Linked DNA regions of Sus scrofa. The protein of the gene in region 3 interacts with the protein of the main gene of each other region in a pairwise test. Links are inferred from orthologs where the notes say so. Each region holds a gene or a part of one and is shown on either strand. Other genes may lie near its edges.

Region 1 (4,243 bases), on a different chromosome or scaffold from region 3:
CAGAAAGTTACGAACTCTGCCACCTGTTGCATAACAGCTGAAGCGGGGTGCTCCGGGGAGCCAATGGGTGCACACAGGCCTCTGGCCCCGAGAGGACTCAGAGACAGAGCACCTGATCAAGAGTCCTCCAGGCACAGTCACCAGCTCCTAGTGCTGTAGCACAGACCCTGTGGACATTACAGAAATTCAACTGCCACGGCGGCCCGCTTGAAAGCAAGAGAGGCCAATGCGAGGACCCATGAAGGAGTTCCCAGCTGGTAAGGCTGAGCTGGAAAGGGCTGCAGAGCACTGCAGCATCTGAGACCCTTTGACCTCTTCACCTGTGGGAGCGATGCTGCTCCCTCTCCCCTGCAACTGGCCTCGGTCACCTAGCTCCTCTCTCTCCTTTGGCCCACTTCCTCAGGGTTCCCTGCGCTGTCAGAGGTTATGGGGTCATCTTCAACCTCAGCTAGGCCACCAGACTTTGGGTATAACTAGTTCTCCTTTTACAAAAGGTTCAGGGCTCCAACAGGGCAGGAAACAGGAGGCTGCAAGAGGTTTACCAGGTGTCTCTGCACACACTTCTCGAAGCCCTCTTCCTCGAAGACTTCTCTCCTGCCACCAGGTGCCCCCAGGTACACGCTGCGTAGGGAACCCTACTTTCTGCAGCAACACTGAACTGGGAAATGCTGATTTTCCTAAATGCCCTACAACCCTCCCTGCTGGCAAAAATCTGCCCCCACCCTGGCCATTCCTCATCCTGGGATTGGCGTCTTCACACTGGGTCAGGCGAATCTAAACAGGCTCAGCCAGTCCCCTGCCCTATCAGGAACTCCCGACACACACACACACACACACACACACACACACACACGCAGCTGACAGTCAGGTCTCACGACTCCCCCCTGCAATCTTTCTTCTCCAGCATTCCCCACTGCCTCTACCTGGATCAGCCCTCAGCAAACTCAGGTCTGGAACATTCAGCAGGGCTTCAACAGCCTGCTCCCACCCATCTCTGATAGACACCCCACTGACTATTCACCTCAAAATCCTCAGGGTGACTGGGTGCCCTGGAGCAGGCTGGACCCCTGACCCTTCTGCCACCACATTCAGGTGCCCCTGTGCTTCTGACCAGAGAGCGGTCGCAAGCCACCAACACATCTGAGTGCAGGGCTCAGAAAGTCGTTAATCAGTGGCCTAAAGCCACACTCTCCAGGAAGATGGGTGCACAAGACAGCCCAGGACAGGAGGGAAGAAAACACAAAAACATACTAGCAACTAACTTTTGTCCCACCCTTTGACATATATTTCATGACATACACGTTATGGAGAGCACACTGCCCTACAAGACACATCAACATGGTCTCAGGCACAAGGTAGGAATACATTCAAGCTCTTCTCTTAACAAAGAATGCGGGAGGCCTCCTGCACCCTTCCAGCTTCACCCCCAGACCCCCTTCCAGCTCCTCCCCCAGCCCCACGACAGCTCACATTCCCTGCCTTGGCTTGGCAGCTTCACCCACCAGCACTCCCTCGGCTTCCCAGGCAGAAATCTATCCCAGGGAGAGTTCAACAGCAATCAGAGCGGAGAAAGACCCCTCCGCGGACTGTATCCGCCTTGCTCGGCCTCAGTCTCTTCATCTGAAGATGAGGACGACTTCCAGAACCTCACAAAACTGTGAAGTCCAAAGGAAATAAAGGTTTTCGAGATACAAAAACAAGGACCATACACCCGCGACTGTCCTTCCAGCTCCTAAGGTCTCGCCTGGGGCCAGATCGCCCTGCAGCCCGGAGCGCGAGCCTGAAAGTGGGACCGAGCTTTTCTAAACGATGAGACCTGCCTGGAAACTCAAACCTCTGGAAAGACACCTTGCGACCCCGTTAACCGGAAGCACCTTAAGAGAAGCGCTGCCTGCAGCCTGGGAAGGGCGCTGAGACGATCTGGGCTACCTCGCTGTCCCAACCTCGCAGCAACGCAGGGTTCAGGTGCAACCCCAAAACCCGGCAAGAAGAAACGCCGCGTGCTTGGCCCCCGCCGCCGCGCCGCTCACCGGGATAGTCGCACTTGTAGGGCCGCTCGGGCTCGAAGTGGCTGCGCTGGTGCGAGCTGAGCTTGGCATGCGTGGGGAAGCGCTCGGCGCACACCTCGCACTTGAACAGGCTCTCCTGCTCGTGGCCCTTCATGTGCGCCTTGAGGTTGTATACGGTGGTGAACTTCTTGCCGCAGCCGCCCACCGGGCAGCCAAAGGGCCGCAGCTTGTCGTGCGACTGCAGGTGCCGCTTGAGCTTGTAGGACGTGGTGAAGGCCCAGCCGCAGCCGTCCAGCGGGCACTTGAAGGGCCGCCGGCCCTGGCCGCCGCTGTGCGTCAGCAGGTGCACCTTGAGCTGGTGCTTCTTGGCGAAGAGGAGAGCGCACTGTGGCTCCGGGCAGCGGTAGCCGGGACCGGCGGGCGCGCGGCGGGCCTCGGCCGGACAGGCGGCCTCCCGGTCCGGCGGAGAACCCCGGGGCGGTGCAGCAAGCGCGAGGACGCCGCGCTCTAAGCGCACCACCAGGTCCTGGCCGCCGGCGGCCCCGGGGCTCGCGAGAGGCGCGCCGGTAGGGGAAACAAGGGCTTCGCCGCCGAGGGCCTGCGCTGGGCGCCCGGCCGGGCTCGCGGCGACGCTGGGCTCGGGCTCGGGCTCCAGCCGCCCCGGGGCCTCGGCCGCGCCGCGCGCCACTTCCAGCAGCACCACGAAGGAGTCGCCTCCGCCGCCGCCGCCGCCGCCGCCGGGGCCCGCTGGCCGGGCCTCTCCGCACTGCTGCCCCTGCGCGTCGTCCTCGGGGCTCCGCAGCAGCAGGAGACGGCGGCGCGCAGGGCCCGGAGCTCTGCGGGTCCGACCGGGGCCGCCCCCGAGCTGGGGTCCGCGCTGGGCCGGGGCCGGAGCCGGGGGGGCGAGCACCGCCGGCACGTCCATCTTGGGCCACAGCGCGTCCAGCCACCGCCTCACCGGAAGCCCCGCCCCACCCTCACGCCCTCCGTGCGCGACGCCGTGCGCGACGCCCGCGGGTCAACGCCAAAACCCGGCGCGTTGCAGGCCCGGCCCGAGGCGCGCGTGCGCGGGGCGGTGGGCGGGGCGAGGGCGTCCACCGGGGCGCGTGACGTCAGGGCTTCTCTCCGCGGGCGGTCCGGGGTTGGTAGAATCCCGGCCGGGTCACGCCCCCCTCGCTCCCCCGCCGCTCGTGTTGAGCGCGGGGGACCTGCGGTTAGAGGTCCAACCAACTCAACCAGCCTCCCCTCGCTTCTGGTACCTGCCTGGACCCACCGCGGCCTTCTCGGCCCCCGCCCCCGCCCCCCAGTCGCTCCTCTGCAGGTCGCGCTGCTGGTCTTCCGAAACGCGTGTCCGGCCGCACCTGCTCCCCAACTCGACCCCTCTCTGCAGTCCCACCGCCCCATGCGTCCCCCACTCCCGCTGGACGAGCAGGTTCCAACTTAGAGACTGCACTTAGGCAAGTCTGTCTCCAAAATGCACTCTCGCAGCGCCCCTCTTCCTTTGACAGCTCTCAGTGGCAGTAGTTTTATCGTCCCTTTCCTGCTAATTCATCGTGACTCTAAAATGAGGACCCCGTGAGGACAGGAGCCCTGTCCTCTTATTCACAGCTGTGACCGGGGGCGAGCAGAGAGGACTTTTAGTAGATGTATTGAATTGATGAATGCTTGATTATTAAAGTACTTTAAGAATAAGGTACTTCAATAATATTAAAAAGAATAGGACACATCCTCATATATACATAAGGATTTGTGCCAAAATACAAATTGCTCCACGACCATTCAGTGAAGGGACAACCTTTTCAATAAAGGGTACTAGGACAACTGGATATCCACGTACAACAGAATGGGTTTGGCCCTCTGCCTCCTACCAAAGGCAAAAAGCAACTCAAAATGGATATAAAGGCTATAACTACAAAACTACTAGAAGAAAACATAGATGTAGATCTGTATGACCTTGGATTAGGGGACAGGTTTCTTAGATTTAAAAACCAAAAGCACAACCAATTAAAGAAACAAATTGGCCATCAAAATTAAAAACTCTTTTGGGTCAAAGAATACAAACAAGAAAGTGAAAAGATAATCCACAAAATGGAGAAAAGTTTGCAAGTGATATATCTGATGGGGATCTACTATCCAAAATATTTTTTAAAAAACTCTTGTAACTCAATCACAAAAAGACAACCCAATTTAAAAATACACAAAAGACGTTAACAGACATCTTTCCAAAGAAAAAA
Region 2 (3,642 bases), on a different chromosome or scaffold from region 3:
CTCTGGACTTCTTTTATGTAAGGAAAAAAAAAATCCTATTTACACCACAGGATTGTTTGTTTGTTTTTTTAAATATTGTAGTTGCCGCTATATCTAGAAATAATAAATGCTTTTACAAAAGATAACAGCTATCTAACTTCAATGTCTGGAAGGTACTGGAACCAAACCCTCTAAGGTTTGGTTTCAAAAGTAGAACCCTGCCATTCTTGTCCTACATCCTTCCCAGTGTTACACGTACCCTTCTTTCCTTTGGAATTTTCCCTTCTGCCTCTAATTTAGCCCGGGCTTGCCTCCTCTTAAGAATACGGTGGTACTGTTTGGCATTCACATAGAGAGGCTCTTCTTCAAGCATCTCTGCCCCGGGAAGAGGGATTCTTTGGATAGCAGGCACAGAGCCAGCACCAGGTACCATCTGAGTGGAGAAAAAAATCAGAGCTCATCAAATCCTGGCATGAAATATGGACATGGGAAATGGTTTCTTGGTTCCTCTGTTTTCAGAAAAATGGTAAGAAGAGTAGCTTTTACACGACACTTAGCTAAATGCAGAATCTTGGAGAATACGCTAAAAGTCTACATTTTATTTATTTATTTTTTAGTTTTTTGTCTCTTTAGGGCTTCACCTGTGGCATATGGAGGTTCCCAGGCTAGGGGTCGAATTGGAGCTGTAGCTGCGGGCCTATGCCACAGCCACAGCAATGTGGGATCCAAGCCGCATCGGCAACCTACACCACAGCTCACAGCAATGCCAGATCCTTAACCCTCTGAGCAGGGCCAGGGACTGAACCCTCATCCTCATGAATACTAGTTGGGTTCGTTAACCACTGAGTCATGACAGGAACTCCAAAGTCTACATTTTAAACAAACATTCCATTCCGTCACAGGGGACTGAGAAGCCATAGTGAGAAATGATAAAAACCATATTCAAATTTCTGTCCACCTACATGTGGTTCCATTTTCTGGAAATGTCTGCTGCCATCTAATAGTTATGAGCAGTAATCCTAAGGCAATAAGAGCACAAGGAAAATGGCACAAAGGAAAGTAGGTTCAGACTGACCAAGTGCTACTAGATGCTCTTAGTTATATAAATAATTTAAATAGTTAACTTACTATGTAATTCAACTCCTATTTTCCTAAACAAACAAAAATAAAACATTGTACTAAATGTATGAGGGAACAAGAAACAGGCTCCCCTGGCCCACTCCCTTCCCAAGGGTGACAACACTGAGTGGCTATATTGTTTCTTCTGGTAGCTTCTTCCACTTCTGTGCAGGTTTCTACTACTCATTCTGAATTTATCCATTTTCGGTGCTATATACTGACACCCCTGTTTTGACATATGAGGATTTAGCTTCACTCACATCACTCAACTCCCCTTTCCTGTCTTCTCAATATGTTGGTATCACACATTTCTTGGGGGGGGGAGGGTTCTCTACTGATTACAGTCCTACCCCCCCCCCTTTAAGGGCTCTATCTGCTGCATATGTAAGTTCCCAGGCTAGGGAATGAATCAGAGCTGCAGCTGCTGGACATGGCCACAGCCACATGGGATCCAAGCCTTGTCTGCGACCTACACCAGGACACCACAGCTCACAGCAACACCGGATCCTTAACCCACTGAGCGAGGCCAGGGATCAATCCTGCATCCTCATGGATACTAGTCAGGTTTGTTACTGCTGAGCCACAACAGGAACTCCTTCAATCCTATTTTTGAACTGACTTCTAATTTCACCCACTCTGGGCAATATTACTTCCCCTTTCTTAAAGATTAGTAGTTTAGGAGTTCCCATTGTGGCTCAGTGGAAATGAGTATGACTAGTAACCACAGGATGCAGGTTCGATCCCCAGCTTCACTCAGTGGGTTAAGGATCTGAGATTGCTGTGAGCTGTGGTGTAGGTCGCAGACACAGCTCGGCTGTGGCTGGCGGCTACAGCTCTGATTTGACCCCTAGCCTGGGAACCTCCATATGCTGCAGATGCAGCCCTAAAGAGACAAAAAAATTAGCAGTTTATATCTCCCTTCATTATCTGAATTCTGAGTAAGATTACTTAAAAGCAAATATTTACATCTGTGTATCTTCTGCTATACTTCTAGTACCTAGAATCGTCTCTTGACACACAGCAGGTGCTCTGAATGAATTACGGTTTTTGTAAAAGTAGACCTCTGTGTCTTAAGGGATAAATCTCAATCCTAGGAGGTCAGCATGATAAACAAGCTTTATTAGACACCAAATTGCAAGTTCAAGAACATTTCAAAGACAAAGAGATACATGGGAAAGCAATTACTGATGAGAACAGCTGAGATAAAGAATTTCTTACCATGACCATCCCTCCTGAATTGACCACATTGCCTGCCACTGGTAGTGTCACCGTGACAGTTCCTTGCCCACTGCTGGTTGTGTTGGTGTTGGCTCCCGTCTGAACAATCTGTGCTCCTGCCAAACTGGCTGCAGGGATGGTGATCATGCCTGAAACAGGGACTGTAACTTTAAGAAATAAAACATAAAACAAACAAAAAACAGGTACACAGAAAGAAGGGAACAGAGTTAGTCCCTCTTCTATCTGGCACACACTTAATTTACCCTGGAAAAACCTACTTAACACAGTACAAGGGGAAAAAAGCACTCTTCCATTGCCTCCCCGGTTTGCTGTACATACTCCATACAATGACAATCTTAGAAATTCTATTAACTATCCGGGTTCCAGTTTTGAATAAAACCAACCTTAAATTGGGTATTTCCCTGGGTATTCCAATAGTTTTTAATGGGTGACCAAAAAGTTTGGAGGCTTCCCTGTCTATGGACCACTATGTTGTTCAAGAGGTCACCACAAAATTTCTAAAGCAGTCAATTTGCTCAAGATGAAAAGGATGCCCCTAAAAGTCCCACAGAAAAGATGGGCACACTACCTTGCTGGAGAATGGTGCCATCTGCATTGACTGGCTGATAGACGATGGTCTGTCCCTCAGCAGTCTGTGCCACTTGCTGCCCCTGGACAGCGATCTGCTGCTGTGTCTGTAGGAAATACACCGGGACACAATTTATAGATTCCAAAGCCACCACAAAGAAAAGGACTATCTAGTCCTTTTTAAGAAAAAACAAATTTTGGATAATTTTCTACCCCACTTCTACTACATGTGAAATATTCAACTAGCTGGTCTGACCTTCCAAATCAGCTGTGCTCTAACAGTGGAGAGAACGAAATTACCTGTGTCTGGCCAGCAGTAACAGCAGTCTGGGGCTGCTGGATGATGATCTGCTGGGTCTGGCCCTGCTGACCCTGAACCTGCACAGCCTGCCCACCCTGGATCTGGATCTGCCCAGGTGGGACCAACTGTATCTGCGGAAGAGGACACAAATGTTAGTGCTCTGCTGACACTGGACTCCTTTGGCCCCGGAGTGTTCCTTACTCAAATTCCTCTAGAAGGCAGGAAATGCTCTGAAGAGGAAAAAGAGACAGAAGCCTTGTTCTGCTCTCTATTATGAGTTAGAGAGAACCTGTCTTCCATTTATGACATGATGGGGGAATTTTGACCACTGTGTGGATACTGGATATAGATGAGTCAATGTCTGCTTTTAGAAGGATGATGGTGCAGGTATGGTTATATGTTTCTAAAAGCATGTTCATTTAAAAATACACCCTTTT
Region 3 (4,194 bases):
ATGATGACTTTTCAGTATGGTACACTAATGGTTATTGATCAATGGTACATGGTATAGTCTACTGGGCTAGAACTCAGAACAGGCTCAGAATATGGCAAAATTTGTCAGTAAGACTATTTCTGAGGCAAATGACATAATGAATTATAGTAATTATGGAGGGAAAGAATAAAATAGGATTAGATCTCCATGTAGAATGTTTTTTGATGATTGATTCCGTAATCCCGCCATGGGCTCTTCCAGATCAGGCCTGGAAAATCTTCAGAAGTATTTTCAGAAGGATTGGTGATCTTCCCAATTCAAATAATAAAGTTTTTCCTAAGAATGACTAGTTGAAATCACTCATATTTTTGGTATGAAATAGGATGATGAAAATGGGTGGTGGTGCATGCATGTGCATGGGTGCACAATTTGGAATGCTTACTTTCACTGCCAATTTTCATAGTCTGGTGGTTTGGAATGTAAACATAGAAAAAGAATAGATATGTTTTTGCATCTCACCAGCCTTGCACGACTACTTTGATTTACCATTTGGTTTGGAGCAGATGTTTGGGTATTGATTAAAGAGCAACTATTTCCTCAAATATCCAAGGAAAATACTAAGCTTTTATCATCTCAGGAGGTAATAAAGGACAAACTTTCTTAGTCACTTGGAAAGAGGTTAGTTTTTGTTTGAGGAAAAATAATAGGTTGATGGTCTTGAATGTACAAATCAATCTTTGGGCCAGTCCATGTCAGCCTTATTTGGAGCAAAGAGCACAGAAGAGGAGTCTACAGTTTCTTAGAATTGAGGATCTCCGAGGATTCTACTCATCTCAAAGCAGTTTTCATACATGATCACCTTAATAAGCAATCATGTGTGACTTCCTTCCAGAATCCAGAAGCGTCTAGGGTAAAAACGGCTTTTAAAATTTCTTCACTTAAGGCCACTTGACTGCATGTCTCTTGAGAAAGAGTGAGTGCCATTTTGACGCTTTTGTTCTAATGACAGTCGTTGGGGCCATTGGGCCTCACTATCTGGCCTAAGGCATGAGGTTCTCCTCTTGGTTAGGTAAGAGCCTTGAGTGGAAAGTGTGGAGATTCCCAAAATTTCCCTGGAAAGTCCCCGCAAGTGAATTGGGGAACATTATCTTTGGAAATCCCATCTTTATCACCAAAACTTAGATGTTGTTTCTGAAGCTAATTATTTTTCATTCCATTTTTTGGGAAAGATTATTTATTTATTTATTTGCAGGCCCAGACAAACTTGACTAGAAAAGAAGCCCGGGCAGGGGTTAGGATGAGCCCATGACGTGCCACGCGCTCCAACCAATTGAAAAACCACGAAAGGGGGAGGGCGGAAGTGACGAGTCGTATCCCTCCGCGGGGCGAGAGGGTCGGTGGGGGGAGTCGGCGTCTCTCTCCCCCGCGCCAGCTCCCGTACACGGAGCCGCATTCCTCGGCCCCCCCGCCCCCCTCCCTCGGGGGCCCCCCGCCCCCCTCGGGAAAAAAAATCCACCTCAAATCACTCGAACCCGAGGGAGGTTTCCTTTCACCCTCGGGGAGACTAGCTTTCAACGGTTCCCTCTTCTCCGTCTCCCCCCAAGCCCCCGTCCCCTCCCCTGCTCCCACCCCCTTCTCCCGGCGCGGGGTGCAAGGTCCCTTTAAGGCGACGGCGCCTTCCTCGGGTCAGACTACCGGCGGCGACGACCACGGGAGGTGAGTGAGCGAGCGAGCCTTCTCTCTCCCCACCCCCTTCTCCCGGGGGTTCCGTTATCTTTTCGCTCGGCGAGGCGTTCCGAGGCGAGACAATGAGAGGGGGATGGGGCGGGAACGCGAGGGGTGGGGGCGGGGGCCCGGTGGCGCGCGCCCCCGCCCCCCTCGAGTGGCGTCGCGGCCCGCGGCGGCGGCGGGCGTGGGGTGCGGCGCGCGAGAGCGTGTGTGAGTGCGTGCGCCCCGGGAGCCGCGCGAGTTGCGCGGCGGGCCGGGCCGGGGAGGCCCCTGCCTGCCGGCCGCCCCCGCCCCCCGGCGCCTGCCGCGGCGCGCGCGCGCGCACTCGCGCCCCACGGCCCCGCACACAGCCGACGTCCACACGCACACCCGGCGCGAGGCGTCTCGGAGGAGTGGGCGGGCGCGGGCGCGGGCGGCGGCCCGCCGGGGAAGGGGCGGGGGCGCGGGCAGCAGCGAGACGGCGGGGCGCGGCGGGAGGGGCTGGCTAGGGGGCGAGGCCGCGCCGGGGAGGCGGGCGGGAGGGGCGGCGGGCCGAGGTCCCCCGGGGGTGGGGTAGGGGTAGTGCTGGGTCCTCTCCGCCCCACCCCCGCCGGGCCAAGAGTGGGGCTCTCTTTTTGAGCTCCAGGAGGAAAATGAGTGATTGCTTAGCCGCTCCCTTGTGTTATGTAATTCCCGCTCGGTCGTATAGTACATCCCAAGCCTTAGCGCACCGCTGTTAGTTTACAAAGTCTCCTCCCCCCCAGCCCCCCTCCCCGCGCTCTAAGATTTCTTTGGGCTGGCGCCGTGATTTACAAAATGGGATGGGGCTTAAAATCTTTATTTTCCGATGATTATATCCTGCCGCGGTGGGCGCCATGTTTATCCCAGGGACTATTTTTCTAGGTTTTTAGCACCTTCTGAAAAGGAGTGATGTCGTTGATTCACCTGCTTTCTCTCCTTTCTACGAGTTGTCCTGATTTCTTCGCCTGTCACACGGGGGATTCCCCCAAATTGTTGCTAATGCTGGACGTTTCTCTGCTTGTCTTGGACATTTTCAGCTTAGAAAAAGGTAGAGCGGGAGAGTCTTTTTAAGTCATTTAGCCCAAAATCTCTTTGAAGATGGAAATTGAGATACAGGTGTCCTGTCTCAGAACAGCCGTCGTTTTGTTGCAAACTGTGCAGCCCTCTACACTCTTTTATAGAGTTCCCATCGCAGCTTAAAACCTCACAGAGATACAATTTTACTTTCAGAGGAATTTCCCTATCTAGATGAAGGGGAAACAGATGAGGTGGAGGGCTTGCCTCTTGGAGAACGGCATTGAATTTCGAGACCCATTGCTCTTGGAACTGGGAATTGGACTCTGAATTCGAACTACTTAGCACAATCATTCTTAACTTCAGGGTGCATAAGAAGTATGTTGGAAATTTCTAAAAGTGTAGTTGGGGTAGGGGAGGCTCATTCCCAAGCCTTTTTGGATGGGACGGGGAAGGGGTAGATTTCTACCTTCAGCTGAGAGTGTGGTAACCACCATATTGAGAGTTGTCGGTCTAGCAAAAAAGATGCTCAAAATCTTAGAACAATTAAGTGGCAGTCTATGCCCTTGATTTCCTTTTCCTATTTTATGGTTATAAGGTACCAGCCATGTTTTGTAAATTTTTAAGTTATATTAAGAATTGAACTAAATGGAGTTCCTGTTGTGGCTAAGCAGAAATGAATCTGACTAGTATCCATGAGGACTCAGGTTTGATCCCTGGCCTCGATCAGTGGGTTAAGGATCTGGCCTTGGGGTGAGCTGTGGTGTAGGTCGCAGACATGCTTCCTATCTGAAGTTGCTGTGGCTGTGGTGTGTGGGCCCGCAGCTGTAGCTCGGATTTGACCCCTCACCTGGGAACCTCCATGTGCCGCAAGTGTGGCCCTAAAAAGACTAAAATAAAATACAAAGAAAATTGAAATACAGTTAATGTAGAATTTTGCGTTAGTTTCAGGTGTACAGAAAAGTGATTCAATTATACATATTTATATCTATTTTTCAGTTTCTTTTTACTTATCGGTCGTTACAAGATATTTAGTGGAGTTCCCTGTGCTATATAGTAGATCCTTGTTGGTTTTCTGTTTTGCATACCAGCTCTCTTGGTGGTGTATCTCAAACTGAAAGAACTAACAATGACGACTCTTGGGATAAATCGGATTTTGTTAGTTTTCACGCCTGCCTTGGACCAGTGGTGTAATATAGGAAAGCAGTTCCCAAAATGTGGTTCACCGACCCTCGGGAATCCCCTCAGGCCCTTTCAGGAGTATTATCCACGAAGTAATACTAGGAGGCTATTTGTTTTTTTTACCGACATTTGCACTGATGGTCCAAAAGCAATGCTTGGTAAAACTACTGGTAGTACCTTAGCACAAAGCAAGGCAGTTGCACCCAACCTCAGCTATACTTACTTGAGAATGTCTTTGATGAAGCAGTAAAAATAATTTTATTAGATCTCAGTCCTTTAGTACACGTCTTT

The links.
Region 1: the proteins of POGZ (region 3) and ZXDC interact in binary tests that used the Homo sapiens proteins (3 or more experiments, as listed by UniProt). The link is inferred for Sus scrofa from reciprocal best matches to the Homo sapiens genes POGZ and ZXDC.
Region 2: the proteins of POGZ (region 3) and NFYA interact in binary tests that used the Homo sapiens proteins (3 or more experiments, as listed by UniProt). The two-hybrid records come from large-scale screens. The link is inferred for Sus scrofa from reciprocal best matches to the Homo sapiens genes POGZ and NFYA.

Annotation. Positions count from the first base shown.
Region 1 is NC_010449.5:53,639,087-53,643,329, reverse strand, and holds the start of ZXDC (zinc finger protein ZXDC), read right to left. Parts: upstream 2,935-4,243; coding exon 2,031-2,934; intron 1-2,030. UniProt on the Homo sapiens protein: Cooperates with CIITA to promote transcription of MHC class I and MHC class II genes.
Region 2 is NC_010449.5:36,400,082-36,403,723, reverse strand, and holds part of NFYA (nuclear transcription factor Y subunit alpha), read right to left. Parts: intron 3,337-3,642; coding exon 3,205-3,336; intron 3,012-3,204; coding exon 2,906-3,011; intron 2,484-2,905; coding exon of another isoform or gene 2,466-2,483; coding exon 2,317-2,465; intron 413-2,316; coding exon 239-412; intron 1-238. UniProt on the Homo sapiens protein: Component of the sequence-specific heterotrimeric transcription factor (NF-Y) which specifically recognizes a 5'-CCAAT-3' box motif found in the promoters of its target genes.
Region 3 is NC_010446.5:97,775,235-97,779,428, forward strand, and holds the start of POGZ (pogo transposable element with ZNF domain), read left to right. Parts: upstream 1-1,352; 5' UTR 1,353-1,695; intron 1,696-4,194. UniProt on the Homo sapiens protein: Plays a role in mitotic cell cycle progression and is involved in kinetochore assembly and mitotic sister chromatid cohesion.